Mus musculus: one gene and its partner. The protein of the gene in region 1 binds, or shares a complex with, the protein of each later gene. Links are inferred from orthologs where the notes say so. Each region holds a gene or a part of one and is shown on either strand. Other genes may lie near its edges.

Region 1 (3,701 bases):
ACCCAGCCTGCCAGCTTTAGAGACAAATCCTATTTAAAACCTCATCTGGGGCTGGTGAGACACTTGAGTAGGTACAGGCACTTTGGTTGTCATGGGCCCCCGTGCTTGTACTATACCAGCCTTTCCCCTTTAAATGTAATGAACCCTGTAAAGCACCCAGCACACCTATGGAGTACTGAAATCCACTTGTTTGGGTATTCTGATTTTAAAAGTCTTACTACCCACCACCATGTAAGTAAGTAAGATAAAGCTACTTAACTCACTGAGCCACAAGTTGTTTGAGGGACAACTCATAAGTAAGCTGTTGGTTTGCATTGTTCCAATGGATTCTTTATTCTAGAAACTGGATTGTTGGCAGCACCAACAATAACTGAGAATTTTGTATAGATGAATTCTTACTTTTCACTTTTGTTATTTTAGAAACCTTCTCTTTTATTTTGACTCTAGGTTGGTATTCAAGTGAATCAGTTGGTTCCTGCTAATTCAAATCTTTCCACATGTTCAAGTCGTCCATCAGCTCAGTCAAGCCTCTTCTCTGGTCGGCCACATTCTGTCCGTGATCTCTTCCAACTTCAGAAAGCCAAGAAACCCACAGAAGAGGAACACAAGGAAGGTGGGTGGCCCTCAGTGTGCGGCTGCTTTCTGCTCCACCAAGTCCTCGGGGAGTAAGAAGTTCCATTTTAAATCCACATGGGTCTGTGCCCTTTCATTGCTTTGTTTTAAAAGTAAAATTACATTCTAAATTGTGAATCTAGAACGATTTGTAAGGAAAAGAATGAAGTGATCGGGGTGGAGGGGCTTGGCGATTTCTCCCCCTTCCCATGAGCTAAAGAGGCTGTTTGATTTGTTTCCTACAACTGTAGTATTTCTGGCTGCTGTGGATCTGGAAGTGTCCTCCACCTCTAGAGCTTGTGGTTTATTGTCTCCGCTCTCTGCACATCTGGCAGCTAGTGTTAGTCCTGACACTAACAGTGGAGAGTGTTCCAGAAAATGGAATGGCCTGCACTCTCCTGTCAGTGGACAGTCACGGCTGAACCTCAGTATAGAGGTCCCATCACCATCCCAGGTATGGGTTTTGGTCCTTAAGTCAGTTTTGTACTAAGAACAAAGTGGTATTCTTCCCTTGTTGGTCAGCATACAAAGTCAACTTCATGTCTTACTGTTCTCACTTAAGCTGCTCCCACTTGTGCAGGTTCCCTTGTTTGCTAGTCTGCTTTGTGTCAGGTGTATCCCATCCTCTTTTTACATGAGTTCACATGGGGCGGGGCTAAAGAAAATGAAAATGCTGTCTCCAGATCTAAGGAAAAGAGGCAGTTCTCATGCTTGAGGGAGAAACCCTAATGCTTGTATAAATAAATACCTTTTTATCTTAATACTTTTAAGCCGGGCAGTGGTGGCGAACGCCTTTAATCCCAGCACTTGGGAGGCAGAGGCAGGCAGATTTCTGAGTTCCAGGATAACCAGGGGAACACAGAGAAACCCTGTCTCAAAAAACAAACAAACAAACAAAAACCTTTTAAGTATAGGATGATAATATTTTGGGGGGGGGGGGGATTCTCCCATCTGAAAAGGTATTTTCTGTTGTCCCTTTCCATGGGTGAGTTCTTACTGCAAGGTGTTGTGTGAGTCATATGTGGACTCCCTTGTATGTTACTGACTCCTACTCTGCACTCACCTTCAGACTCGGGCTTCGGTGCCCATCAAGATAGGGTAGGGACTAGCTTTTTGAAGGCCGAGGGTCTGAACTTTTACTGTTCCTGAAACTTTTATTTCTGAGCATCAAGTTCACATTTGGTATTTTACAGATTGACCAGTCTGTTTTAGAAGCGCTCCCACTTGATCTCCGGGAACAAATAGAACAAGTTTGTGCCGCTCAGCAGGGAGAGCCACGTGGAAAGAAGAAAGAACCAGTAAATGGCTGCAGTTCAGGGGTGTTGCCACATCCTGTTGGAACAGTTTTATTACAGATCCCAGAGCCTCAAGAACCTTGTAATAGTGACAGCAAGATTAGTGTAATTGCCCTTCCAGCATTCTCACAAGTACGTTGATGTCAGGGACCTTCAGTCATGCTTTTCTCACCTGTCCTCTCCTCTATCTAATTCCTGAGGAGCTTGCACTTCTGCAGACAGTGGTTGGCACCTCAGCACCAGAGGGAAGAGATGTGGGAGGCAGGTGTTGGTCCCTAAAGATTCTGGAAGACACTCTTTGTTGACTTTACTGGTTCACACAGATCATGAGACCTCCTGAATAGGGGAAGATGCCCAGAAGTGTCCATGTGTTTTTGGCTTCCCATTTTGTAACCGAGTGTCTTGTTCTGATTAGTTAGCACAGAAATTGGATTGCTCATATCCAGTGTCTTGGAAGGTTTTGTCCTAGCTTTGCTGTTTAAGGACCTGTTAAAGTGATTTGAAAACAGTCTAGCTGTCCTCCAGAATTAATTTAGGTGTGACTTTCCTTGTACTAGGTGGACCCTGATGTCTTTGCTGCCCTTCCTGCTGAGCTTCAAAAGGAGCTGAAAGCAGCATATGATCAAAGACAAAGGCAGGGAGAGGACACTACTCATCAGCAGCCAACCAGTACATCTGGTAAGAGGAGAGAACTGTCATGTCCCAAAAAGGGACTAGGGTGATGACATCATTGTGTTATAACTGTTCATCCTAGAGAGTGTCTGAAGTGATCAAGGCAGACGAGTAGCGAGTGCTGTAAGTCACTGCTGGTTGGTACTTGTGCTGGTCTTAGTATTTTTGGATACAAGTCAAGCTACTTGTCCTTTGAGACTGCTGTTTGAAAGAATGTGGGTTCAAAACATGAAATCTCAAAACATGAGTCCCTGAACACACATTTTATTAAACCTACGTAACTGCTAAATGAGAATACGAAGTTGTACAGCTGAGCTCGGAGGACTTTATGCCTTAAGCCACGGCGTGCCTGGCCTTCTTTCCTGCTCTTGGTTGTAAGGGGGGGTTGGAAGGACAAAGAGTCAATGGTATTATTACCTGATTGCATTTTGAGACTCTCATACCTCCTCTTTTAGTGCCAAAGAATCCTTTACTTCAGCTAAAGCCACCAGCAATGAAAGACAAGAGGAACAAGAGGAAGAACCTCATTGGTTCTCCCAGAAAGAGTCCTTTGAAAAATAAGCTGCTTAGCAGTCCTGCAAAAACTCTGCCAGGGGCATATGGAAGCCCCCAGAAGTTAATGGATGGTTTTCTACAACATGAAGGAATGGCTTCAGAGAGACCCCTGGTAACTGGAACAAAATACTGACTGTTACTAGATTTTAATGTACTTGACACTGTCTGAATACAGCATTCTCGTTCACTTCCTCAACAGGAAGAAGTCTCGGCTTCTACCCCTGGTGCACAGGACCTATCTAGTTTACTGCCAGGCCAGAGCAGCTGTTTTAGACCAGCAGCACCCAACCTAGCTGGAGCTGTGGAATTCAGTGATGTGAAGACCTTGCTCAAAGAGTGGATCACTACTATCTCAGGTTTGTGTGGTAGCTCTGTGATTCGAGAACAGGACCTGAGCACAATGGCTCGAGCCCCTTGTCTAACATTACAAGCTGTAAGGCGTGCTGGGTCCTCACCTGGGGTTTTCCTCCTCCCTAGATCCGATGGAAGAAGACATCCTGCAGGTTGTGAGATACTGCACTGACCTCATAGAGGAGAAAGACTTGGAAAAATTGGATCTGGTTATAA
Region 2 (5,011 bases), on another chromosome or scaffold:
GCCTGGTCTACAAAGTGAGTTCCAGGACAGCCAGGGCTACACAGAGAAACCCTGTCTCGAAAAAAAATAAAAAAAAAAAAAAATAAAAACAAAGAAAACCAGAGAAGAAACTTAAGGTCACTTCTTATTCATGTAAATTTGAAAATGCTAAAATAGTCCAAGGACGTGAGTGTGGAACGAGCAGAGGCTTGAGGCTGGCCTTGGCTCCCTACACAGACATACAAATAATTAGGATGGTTTAGAGATGTTTACCCCACCCCCACCCCCATAGACAGATACACATCTACATATGATTATTCCTTAATTTCACTAGTAAGAATCTTTTTCTTCCCTTTAAGACATAGTCTGTGATGGCTATTCTTGGTTGTCACTTTGACCACACCTGGATTAACTAAAACCCAAGTGGTTGGGTATGCCTGTGAGGGAGTTTCCCCTCAATTAATTATTTGAAATGGGAAGACCCACTTTTAATCAGGATCTTTTGAAATGGGAAGATCTGTCTTCAGCCTGGGCCACATCTTCTGCTGGCAGCCTATATAAAGAACACAGGAGGAACCTTGCTCTCTCTCCCTGCCTGCTTGCTCTCACTGGCAAGTCCATTCCTTTCCTGGCACTAGAGCTAGCTTCGTTGGGATTCTGGCAGACACTGAAGGCCAGGTGAGACATCCAGCTCCGAGGACTGAACAACTATTAGATTCTTGGACCTTCTGTTGGTAAACAGGATTGCTGGACAAGCTGGACTAGCCTGTAATCCATTCTAACAAAGTTCATAAATATATGTATTCATTCTATACATTCTGTTCCACTAGGGCAGTTGTTCTCAACCTTCCTAATGCTACAACCCTTTACTATAGTTCTTCATGATGCAGTGACCCCAACCATAACATTATTTTTGTTGCTACTTCATACCTGTTAACTTTACTACTCATAAGAGTTGTGACTTAAATGTGTGATATATAAACTATATTCAACCCCTGTGAAAGGGTCTTTTGACCCCCCAAAGGGGTCATGACCCATAAATTGAAGACCACTGCTATTGAGAACCCATGGTCTCTCTATTATCTGGCCCTAGCTGCACATGAACTCACTATGTAAACCAGGCTGGACTGGAACTCCCAAAGATCCACCTGCCTCTGCACCTCTCTGCCTCTGCGCCTCTCTGCCTCTCTGCCTCTGCCTCTCTGCCTCTGCCTCTCTGCCTCTGCCTCTCTGCCTCTGCCTCTGCCTCTCTGCCTCTGCCTCTCTGCCTCTGCCTCTCTGCCTCTGCCTCTGCCTCTCTCTCTGCCTCTCTGCCTCTGCCTCCCAAGTGCTAGGATTAAAAGCATGTACCACCATGCCCAACTGTTAGTAAAATTCTTTAGTAACTTCAACAAAACAATATTTAGTATGATTCATATTACATTAGGAATATTGTTTCTCTTCCTTCCATATAACTAGAAAATAGAAAATTATTCTGTGCAGCTAGCAACTTTCCTTCCGTTAGAGGGAGGAAAGGCCGGCAACAGCCTGGCCAGCTACTGCTCAGCTATGGAGCCTTGGTTGAGCTGATGGACATCCCAGTCTCACTGCACTTTAGCATGCTAGTTAGAAAACCAGGTATTATTCTCCTGGAACACTGAGAATTGTCTATGTTCCCTATTGTAAAAATACTAGTCCAAATTAAAATTTTACTACAGTCTTTCTCTTATTGTCCCCATATCTCTAAAGCCTGCAAACTGCATTTGAATCCCAGCACATTTGAAACAAGCAGGGCATAATCCTGCAAACACCCCAGCATTGAAGGGGGAAGACACAGGAAGACCTCTGGGGCCTGCTGGCTGCTCTCATAGCTCCCTCTCCTCCAAAGAAATTATAGTTTTAGGTTCAGAGAGAGACCCTGCCTCAAAAGTACAGCACAGGGGTAATAACACATATGCATACATCATACAAACATAGTTTTACACACACACACACACACATATATAGATACAAGGGAGACAGAAGCATAACATATCCAGGCAATTTCATACAAGGAAACAAGAAAGCTAGTGTCGTGGCACATCCCTACAATCGCAGACCTTTGGGAGGGAGAGACAGGAGCAGAAGGGCACACATGTATTACCCACAGTGGCTCTCAACACAAACTCTGAATACCCACCAATATCCTTGTTGTACTTAACTAAAACTATGAATGCTTCTCTTGGAAGTCTACAGTAAGCCTTTACCTTATTGTGTGAGATTCCAGCTGAACACTGGAAGCCAGTCTTACTCTCTATGGCTGCTCTCATTTCTTCCACAATCATGGCTCCCACAGTCAGCCTGAGGTCTGGAGAGGTGGGATCATCACTCTGAAGAGAATCAAGCCACTGAAGCAAGCCTTGTTTCCGAATAGCCTCTGAAAAGAGCAGAGGTCACATTTAGACGTTTGCTTGTTTTTGCTTTTTTGAAACAGGGTTTCTCTGTGTAGCTCTGGCTATTCTAGAACTCCCACTATAGACCAGGCTGGCCTCCAACTCAGAGATCCACCTGCCTCTGCCTCCCAAGTGTCGGAATTAAAGGTGTGCGCCACCACTGCCCAGCTAACATTTTTTTTTAATTATTTTTAGTCATGAATCACACAATATTTGCTCAAGGGCATACTATATAAATCATAGTATACGGATGGCATCAAACTTAACATGTAGTAGGCTGCATGATCTAGCTTTCTCTAAGTCTGCACTATAAAATCACCCAGTGACACATTTCCCAGAGCAAATCCCTTACATTAAGCAGCACATGGCTATAGTTACCATTCAATGCAAAAATGATTTGACTTTGGGCTGCACATGGTAGCACACACCTTTAATTCTAGCATTCTGGAGACAGAGGCAGGTGGATTTCTGTGAGTTTGAGGTCAGTCTGGTCTACAAAGAGAGACCAGGTCAGCCAGGGTTCTGATACACAGAGAAACTCTGTCTCAAAAAAACAAAAAGAGGTACTTAAGATATACAACTTCATTTCAAAATTGAATCTTATCCACGTGTGTGTCACTGTAGGCCATGTGTGTGGTCATGCTCTGGCTATCCTGGAACTCACTCTGTCCCAGACTAGCTGTGAACTCAGCAATCTGCCTGCCTTGGCCTCCAGAGTGCTAGGGTAAAAGGCGTGCAACTGCCAGTACCGTCAGGCTCCTTAAACTTCCTCTTGAACACTCTTCTTCACTAGGAAACCCTCAGAATTGCTGGGATGGCAGTGCAGACCTACAACCACAGCAGTCAGAAGGTAGAGGGAGTAGGATCCACTGCAAGTTCACGGCCAGCTTGGTCTGCCTATCAAGCCCTGTCTCAAAAACCAAAACCAAGCTGGGTGTGGTGGCACACTTTAATCCCAGCACTTGGGAGGCAGAGGCAGGCAGATTTTTGAGTTCAAGGCCAGCCTGGGCTACACAGAGAAACCCTGTCTCGAAAACCAAAAACAAAACAAAAAAAAAACAAAAACAAAACAAAAAAAACCAAGCCCAGAAAACATTCATGATTTACTCAAGCTTAAACTTCCACTTAAGTATTTACATTATTTTAGAGAATGATTCCATATAAGTAGTTTAAAATCCAACCAAAAATATCTTTACAACTCAGTTTAGAACTATTCATGATAGTGAATTCAATGATCATTCACAAATTCACAGTTGTGAAATAGAATAAAATGTGATTACACAGCAAAGGAAATACAGACATGTTGGTTTAAAGATGCAGTAATGAGATAGGTATAGGGCAGAATACCTGGGAGAAGAAAAAGTCCAAACACCATAGAGAAGATGGGTCAGACGAGCACGCAGAGGAAACCTTGCCACCCTTCAGTGACTACTGCATCCCTCCACAGCTGCCATGTCTGCTGCCAGCATCCTAACCATGGCAAGTGAGCAACACTTTCCCGCTCTGTATGTTCCCCTTGGTGACCATGACCTGATCCCGCTGAATACACGCACACCTCCCTCTCTGACCCTAAGCTCGGGTCTTTAGCGCCCATCCTCCCTGCCACCTCCTGACAGAGCAATTCCTTTATGCTTATGACTGTGCAAACATTCTAACTCAACATAACTAAAATCAAGCACAGCTTCTTTCTCAAAGGGTCCCTCTCCCAATGCCTTGTTTTTAATAAAAGCTTAGAATTTACCTAACATTAACTTTATTCTTTCATTTTCTACTGTGTAGTCAGCCAACAGAGCCCACTTCAAAACAGTTTCCTGTATCACTTCAACTCCCCTGCTTCACTTAAACTACCTTAACTCTTTGGGAGCACTGGCTGCTCTTCCAGAGGACCCTGGTTCCATTCCCAGCACGCACATGGCAGCTCACACCTGTCTATAACTCCAGTCCCAGAGCTTCTGACACACATGCAAGCAATACACCAATGAATATAAAATAAAAATAAATTTTAAAAATATATAACATTTTAGAGGTCAGGGGAAAACACATACATGGAGGTCAATAAAGAGTGTGCGGGAGTCGGGGCTTCGCTTTCACCGCGCAGGGATTGCGCTCAGGCCAGCAGGCAGTAAGTGCCTTTACTGGTGTGAGGGTTTGAATGAGAATGGCCCCAGAAGCTCATATATTTGAAAACATGGTCTCTAGTTAGTACAAGCTTTGGTGTTTAGGAACAATTAGGAGGTGTGTCCCTGGGGGTGTGATTTGCGGTCCAAAAGCCCATGCCCATGACATTTCTTGTTAGGTCTCTCTTCTTTGTGGCAGTTATCACGCATATAAGCTCTCAGCTACTTCTCCTGCACCATGACTGCCTGACTGGTTCCTTACTCCTCATGATAGTCATGGACTCACCCTCTGACACTATCAGCCCAATGATCTCTTTCTTTTGTAAGTTGCCTTAGTCATGGTACCTGCACAGCAATAGAAAGGACACCTACAGAGCAATATCACAGGCCCAACCTCCCCAGCCTCTTCCCACGTGGTTTGAAGGTGTACTAGAGGACAAGCACTTGCTGCTACACCGGAGGCCCTGTGTTTGTCTCCAGTGCAAAACACAATAGACACCTCAC

The links. Proteins that work in one complex are often made in the same cells at the same time.
Region 2: the proteins of Rev1 (region 1) and Polh are in contact, whole or in part, in an NMR structure (PDB 2LSK), measured with the Homo sapiens proteins. The link is inferred for Mus musculus from reciprocal best matches to the Homo sapiens genes REV1 and POLH. Residues at the interface, in NP_057400.1 of Homo sapiens: Asn1158, Leu1159, Ala1160, Gly1161, Leu1171, Leu1172, Trp1175, Ile1179, Asp1181, Pro1182, Met1183, Glu1185, Asp1186, Gln1189, Val1190; in NP_006493.1 of Homo sapiens: Thr528, Glu529, Pro530, Phe531, Phe532, Lys533, Lys535, Ser536, Leu539.

What each region holds. Positions count from the first base shown.
Region 1 is NC_000067.6:38,053,629-38,057,329, reverse strand, and holds part of Rev1 (DNA repair protein REV1), read left to right. Parts: intron 1-447; coding exon 448-613; intron 614-863; coding exon 864-1,066; intron 1,067-1,750; exon of another isoform or gene 1,751-1,805; coding exon 1,806-2,039; exon of another isoform or gene 2,040-2,464; coding exon 2,465-2,585; exon of another isoform or gene 2,586-3,034; coding exon 3,035-3,246; exon of another isoform or gene 3,247-3,333; coding exon 3,334-3,490; exon of another isoform or gene 3,491-3,611; coding exon 3,612-3,701. UniProt on the Homo sapiens protein: Deoxycytidyl transferase involved in DNA repair. Transfers a dCMP residue from dCTP to the 3'-end of a DNA primer in a template-dependent reaction.
Region 2 is NC_000083.6:46,188,403-46,193,413, forward strand, and holds part of Polh (DNA polymerase eta), read right to left. Parts: intron 2,375-5,011; coding exon 2,205-2,374; intron 1-2,204. UniProt on the Homo sapiens protein: DNA polymerase specifically involved in the DNA repair by translesion synthesis (TLS). Due to low processivity on both damaged and normal DNA, cooperates with the heterotetrameric (REV3L, REV7, POLD2 and POLD3) POLZ complex for complete bypass of DNA lesions.